Oryctolagus cuniculus: one gene and its partner. The protein of the gene in region 2 interacts with the protein of the main gene of each other region in a pairwise test. Links are inferred from orthologs where the notes say so. Each region holds a gene or a part of one and is shown on either strand. Other genes may lie near its edges.

The links. The genes of interacting proteins can lie anywhere in the genome.
Region 1: the proteins of PBX3 (region 2) and MAL2 interact in a two-hybrid assay, tested with the Homo sapiens proteins (2 studies listed by BioGRID). The two-hybrid records come from large-scale screens. The link is inferred for Oryctolagus cuniculus from reciprocal best matches to the Homo sapiens genes PBX3 and MAL2.

The regions. Positions count from the first base shown.
Region 1 is NC_091437.1:145,023,372-145,027,024, reverse strand, and holds part of MAL2 (protein MAL2), read right to left. Parts: intron 2,610-3,653; coding exon 2,439-2,609; intron 1-2,438. UniProt on the Homo sapiens protein: Member of the machinery of polarized transport. Required for the indirect transcytotic route at the step of the egress of the transcytosing cargo from perinuclear endosomes in order for it to travel to the apical surface via a raft-dependent pathway.
Region 2 is NC_091432.1:229,673,072-229,676,724, reverse strand, and holds part of PBX3 (pre-B-cell leukemia transcription factor 3), read right to left. Parts: intron 771-3,653; coding exon 580-770; intron 1-579. UniProt on the Homo sapiens protein: Transcriptional activator that binds the sequence 5'-ATCAATCAA-3'.

The DNA of each region.
Region 1 (3,653 bases), on a different chromosome or scaffold from region 2:
ACTACTTGTCCATGTAATAACCCTTTAGTTGCTGGGCTCTTAGGAGATTCAGGAATGTCCCAGAAGAAGGGTCAAAATAGGATGGTGGGTGTCAAAATATTTGGTGAGATGAAATCAATTTTGGCAATGACTGTAAATTATCTAATATTGAAGCATCAGCAGGCCTACAAGTAGAACATGCTGGCCTGATACTAGAAGAACTTGGTGCCCAACATTAGGCATAGACTGATTCATTTATACATTTTTATAGGGAAGTTGGACATTTGGAAAGAAAAGCTTAAGCCTCTATATGTAGCCTAAATAAGGACCCTTGACTTTTATCACATAACCAAGAATTGGGAATATTTTTGTTATTAATGAGAAATTAAGTCAAAGATGCAGGAACACACTATCTCAGAAACCTAAGGACTTTCAAGAATCTAAATTGCAAGTCTCAGTGTGGTTAAGGTATTGCATCATTACTGCTTCATTACTATCAGTTAGACACAAAGTATAATTCATTATTTCCAATATCCCCCACTAGTATCTGGTAAAACAGATATCATTAGTAGCATTTTACAAAAATTCTGATATATTAACTATTTTGACCAAGACTATACAGCTATCAAGCAAGCCAGACATATGCCCATGCATGACAATATGTGCATGATTGTAACCACTGAATTCTACTCCTTCCTTGGCTTTATTAAACTGAACTGGGTGCCACCTGCCCATGGGCTGGCTTAAAGGCCAGGCATTTTCAATGAATTTTGCTGCTGATAATATTTGTGTTGATATTTCTCCTCTCATCTTTTATAAATAAAGTACATATGTATTTTCCGCTAACATCTGACCTAATTCTGCTGAATATATTGCTATTATACTCGACAGCAACATACAAAGGTACTTTAAAAAGTCCATTGAAGGGCCAGCATTGTAGCATACGTGATGTTGGCATCCCATATGAGAACTGACTGCTCCACTTCCGATCCAGCTCTCTGCTAATTTTCCTGGGCATGCAGGCGAAGATGGCCTTGGTGCAGTGCCTGAGGCCCTGACACCCATGTGGGAGAACCAGATGGAGTTCCACTGAGTCAGCCCTGGCTGTTGTGGGTACTGGGGCATGAACCAGTGGATGGATCTCTCTCTCTCTCTCTCTCTCTCTCTCTCCTTCCCTCCCTCTATCCCTCTCCTGGATTTCAAATAAATAAGTCAATTAAAAAATTCAGTGGAAAGTTACAATGAGACTGGTGTTGTGGGCAAAGCCACTGCCATATATGCAATGGTTCAAGTCCCAGTTGCTCCACTTCTGATCCAGCTACCTGGGAAAGCAGTGGAAGATGGCATAAGTGCCTGGGCTCTTGAATCTACATGACACGCCCAGAAGAAGCTCCTGGTTTCTGGCTTCGGTTGGCCCAGCCCTGGCCATTGTGGCCATTTGGGGAGTGAACCAGCAGATGGAAGATCTCTTTGTTCCTCCCCCTCTCTATCTATAACTCTGCCTTCAAATGAATAAAATCTTTAAAAAATTTTAAATATCCACATTATGAGAAGACTATGTATGGATTTCAGATCTTTTTATACCAAATATTCTATTTTCCATGAACTATTTGATGTACCCTGTGGATAAAGACTGACTAAAGGTCTGAGTTAAGTTTCTAAACAACAAAATGGGGTCAGAATCTAGGGGAGGTTCTTCATGAACTTCACTAAAGCACTACCTACTATGGACTAGAATTCATGCTACACTGGGCCATTCTGAAACAGTCTCAGAGAATGAATGACCACAGGTATGAAAGAAAGGCTCCATATATTACATATATTACACAGGAATACAGGAAGTAAGATGATCCAATTTAATGTTATCATAATTAAGCATTGTATTGATTGAAAATTCATTTTTAAAAACTCATCAATTCTTCATTAAGTCAGGAGTTAATTATACACATAAAACATGACCTTTTCCTAAGTATTTTAGAGAACAATATATATATAACTAATTGTGTCCTGAAAAAGTGTGTGTGTATATACATATATACATATTTGTGTATATATTTGTATACCTATCTGTATATTTAAATGGCTGAAGCAGAAATAAATGGAAAATTTCAAGATATATGTTACAGCATTCATCTTCCAAATGTAAATGTTCAGCTGTTTAGTACTTATAATGCAATTCATTCGTTGTATGAAATGAAATAATTTTTGAGTAAAAGTCATCTAAGTCATAAAGGAGTAACAGAATGATTTCTTAGTTAATACAAGCATTTCCCAAGGTGGCATCCTGACATCCCACAAGGCAACTATGCAGCATTACAGTGGCCCCTGTGTTCAGACCTATTCTTTCCCAGCAGAGTCAACAGACAGACAGAACAGGGACTTGGGTATGGCAGAATAAAATGAGATGTTTATAAGTTTCTCACATTTTTTCCAACATACATCAAATAAAAAGTTCTTACCAGCAAGTTCCAGTTGGCATTAATTTGAGTCACCATGCCAGACAGGAATACGCCCAGAAAGAGGAGGGAGAAAAAAAAGGCTGCCACAGACACAAACATGACCCATCCTTGTAGCAGAGGTAGAGGAACGTTGGAGGAGGCAACCAAAATCCAGACGAGGCCCCCAAACAGCTGAAAGAGAAAAAGAAAGAGGGTAACAGGTTTGCTTCGATAATATATTTTATACAACTGAATTAAACACCTTCCCCCCTTTTTTCCCCCTTAGACCCCTGCAACCCCATCCTTTAACCTTTTTCTTTCATATGGCAGATGCCTTCTTTCCTCTGGTCCAAGACCAGATCTTCTATTTGAAGACCTGATGACTCCATACCTGTATCTCTTCCTCAGCCTCCAACAGGTCCAGAACTCTTGTTATTTAAAAATATCTTTTGACATAGGATAAGTCAGCTAGAAAGATAAAGTTCATGAGGAGAAGCCACACCTCCCCCACTCTGTGTAATCATATCCACCCACCTGTCAATCAAACGACCTCTTCACCAGGAAGTAGTTACCTTAATTGGGACCTAGGGCAGTACCATGTAAACACTTCTGTTTCTAAGCTCATAAGAAATTGGGTGAAGCGAAAGCTCCCTCCTTGTAGCCCCAGAGCGAAAGTCCCTCTTTACCTTTCCTGGCCAACTCTCCCAAAATAAAGCCCATAAATGCCTGTGTATTTTCCTCACTTGGTAAATAAACATTGTTGCATTGCACGTCTGTTTGTGCCTGTATTTATAATTCTTTTCTAAGTAAAAGGCAACAATCTGCAATACATTTGTAGGCCCAACGTAGCCCACAACACTTTTGACTCCACTGCCTCTCCGACTATCACTATGTTGACGCATTTTCCTTTTCATTCAGCCATTTTTACAAATTCATCTTAACATGGTCTCTATTTCCTCCCTTCATGGCTGCTCTTCAAACCAAGATAAATTGGCTTCTGTTCTCACTACTACTTAGACAATTTATCAGTAAAGTATGGCTGTAACTTCCTAATTTGTGACATCTAAGGATTACTAAATCATGATTTATTTGCACATTTAATATTACTGTCTATGTACAGAATAAAAAGTTGCAGTTGTTGCACATGATAGTAAACAATAAAAACTACCATCATTAATTATGTACCATAATTGACATGAGAATAAGTAGATATTCACAGATTCAATAGTCAATAAA
Region 2 (3,653 bases):
CTACAGGTAACGTATTACCTAACTGCTGTGAAACTTGGTGAAAGCTTCAAATAAAAGGGAAATTTCATCCTTACAGGAGAAACTGAGAGACTTTCTCACTTGATTAGAAAGATAGTGTCTGGGATTTTATGGTAACTTCTATCAGGTGAAATACCAATTCCTGCTTAGGACTATCAATACCTCTAAGTATTTTCTCATAATATGTACAAGCAACATAACTTTAAGGAATTCTTAGACATACATACCATTGTTAAAACAGAATTATATGCAGAAAATTATCCTTAAAAATCCTGTCTAGCATCAGAATTGAAAGGCTACCTAGCCCGAAAGCAGTAGTGCTCACTCTATCCGTCTCCTGAATCCGAAACTGGCAGCTCACTGCACAGCCACCCCCAGACATCAAGGGACTTCACAGCAGAGTTTTACCTGTCCACTGCAGAGAAGAGCTCTGATAGCCGAATTAAACAAGAACTGATGAGCAACCGGCTGATCTCATAGAAAATTATATAAAAGGAGTGAAGGAGGGGGAAAGGGAGCGGGGTGGAGCCATGCAATAGATTTATTTATGACCTCACATACCTGGCATCAAGGAACCTTGATCTTAAAATCATAACGGCTTCACAAGTGCTTTGTTTGAGCTGCATCTGAATAGAACTAAATTTTCGATGGATGATGCCCACCATTCTTTCAATCTCTTTTGGGGAAATGGGACGTGTTCTACTCTGTTCTCGTAGAAGGTTCATCACATGTGTAGTGAATTCATTACATGCCTGTAATGGGGAAAAAAAAATCATTCCTTAGCAATCTGATATTTTATATCATCACACTCAGACATGAACTCATCTGACTTTCCACTTCATTTACAATCACCAATGGCATTATGCAGGGCAGGGTAAAATGAAAGCTAGGACACTTGTGAAATGGTGGTGAGGTAGGTGGGGCACCAATTCTGAAACTATGAATGGTCAGACATGCAAGGGAGACACAGCATTCAAGTGCCCTTCCTACCACCTTTGTCCCAGTTCCAAAATAAAGTTTTCCCATTAGAGGATGCTCTCTACCAACTCCTATGTCTAAGTAATAATATATGTTAACTATGTACTAAACATCTTCTATTTTCTCTGTGGTTTTACATTTTTCAACAAATGTTTACTTAGGACTAAGTAGTTCAAACTCTTACAAGTGTTGTAAGGGATACAGAGATGAGCAAGGTGTAGACCTGGCCTTTAGTGAGATAAAATACATAAAAAACTAACTCTCACAAAGCAAGCAGTGCAAAGTCTACCAGGAAGTTATTAAGAAGTGCTTTGTAATTTCCAAGGAGAGGGTAGTCTCATATGGAGGCTTCACGGTGAAAGCGGTATCTGGGCTTTGAAGAATGGGTAGGACTTTTAAAAGGGAGACGAAGATGGAAGTCAAAAGAAATTCTAGGCATAAGAAAAACTCTACAAAGAGTATGTGGCAAGATGGGAGAATGGCTAATAGGAAAAGAGCATGTAGAGAACTGGGGACTTGGGTTTGGATTAGCACATAAAGGGCCTTGTACGCACACCACTGGGTAGCTGTGGTATAGGCCCAGACTCACGTCACCCTGTAAACAGCTCAGCTCTTCAGGGGAGGGACTGCAGGAAAACAGGGATCAGATCTGGGTCTCAAATATTCTAGTTAACAATCTCAGATACTGTCCATTTAAGTTCACCTATAGTCTTTCAGTCTACAAAACCACATTAACTGGGCCTCCATTGAAATCCCATACTGCCTTAGGAAATAAAGTATCAGTATATACATCTGAAGAAAAAGAACATTTTCTGGCATTTTCGTTAAAAAGGCAGGATGAAAAAGTCTGTATCCTACTGAACTCATGGCCTGGCAGGGTGAGCAGACAGAACAATCATTGATCAATGCAAGACATATTTTGAAGCTATAATAATGTCCACTCCCATATAGATAACCTGGCATGGTTCACATAAAGCACATTATGGTTTTCCTAACTGCTCATTAGAGAACTAACCACCAAGTATATTGAATGTTTCACATATTCTAAGCTTTTCTATAAATATTTCTAAGGTGAGGTAAAGTTAGTCTTGCTTACTGTTAGTCTTTTAAAGTCTTCAGAAATTCTAAGTCCCTTCTGAGTAATGACCTTATGGTATATACTTCTGGTATTCCTCTGCTTAGGGCATACAATAACCATCTGCAGATTTACACTGTCAGTGCTAGAGTAAGTGTGGTTAATATCCACAGGTCCAGGGATAGGCTTAGACCATCTGCAATCCTTGAAATCCTATGCAAGCTGTGTGCACCTGTATATTTCCTGGAGGAGAATCTGTGGAGTTTTCTTTGCTTTCAGATTCTCAAACAGTTTATAACTAAAAAAATGTTAATAATTATTGTCTTAGGTTATGATACAGTACAATATTAAACAGACTAAAACTAGTTCTTCTGTCTTTAAGAAAACCAAAAATTTTTGAAATAAATTTAAGATCTTCCCCTACTGTATTATCAATTTCAACTGTTTATGCCAAGCTGGAAATAAGTGGTCACTCTGTCAAGAAATACATGTATACATTTTTTATCTTGAATTTCTCTAAGGAGATATTTACAGAATTTCCAAATTATATAACTAGACACACTCTAGTCTTCAGTTTTCTCATCAGTAAAATGAAGAAAATTGATTAATAACTTTTCTCAAACTAGGATTAGCAAATTTTATAGTTCTATAGCTAGATCCATAAAATACACATTTTTGAATTTATTTATTGGGACTGGCACTGTGGTATAGTAGGCTGAATCTCTACCTGTGGTGCCGGCATCCCGAATCGCTGCTGCTTCATGTGCCAGCTGTTCCTCTTCCAATCCAACTCTCTGCTACAGCCTGGGAGAGCAGTAGAAGATGGCCCAAGTTCTTGGGCCCCTGCACCCATGTGGGAGACCTGGAAGAAGCTCCTGGCTCCTGGCTTTAGATTGGTCCAGCTCTGGTTGTTGCAGCCATTTGGAGAGTGAACCAGTAAGACCTTTCTCTCTGTCTCTCCCTCTCTCTCTGTAACTCTACTTCTCAAATAAATAAAAAAATCTCAAAAAAAGAGTTATTTATTATCTATTTGAAAGGCAGACAGAGAGATCTTCTACCCCTGGTTCACTCTCTAAATGGTTACAACAGCCAACTCTGGCCAGGCTGAAGCCAGGGCCCAAGAACTCCATCCTGGTCTCCCAAGTGGGTGCAGGGGCCCAAGCACTTGGGCCATCTTTCACTGCCTCACCAGCACATGAGCATGGAGCTGAATGGAAGCAGAGTCCCGGCCCTGAATTAGCATTCTGATATAGGCTGCTGGCTCTGCAAGAGACAGCTTAACCTGCACCACGGCACTGGCCCCTGGATCCACAGAATATTAACAGATGTTCCAAAAATACAGCATGGGGCCAGTGCTATGGTGTAACAGGTTCAGCTGCCGCCTGTAGTGCTGGCATCCAGTTCGAGTACTGGCTGTTCTACTTCCAATGCAGCTACCTGCTAATGTGCCTGAGAAAGCAGCACAAGATGGCCCAAGTCCTTGGACCCTGCCACACACATGGGAGACCTGGATGAAGATCCTGGGCCCTGGCTTTGGTCATTTGGGGAGTGAAGCAGTGGAGGGAAGATCTCTCTATCTCTC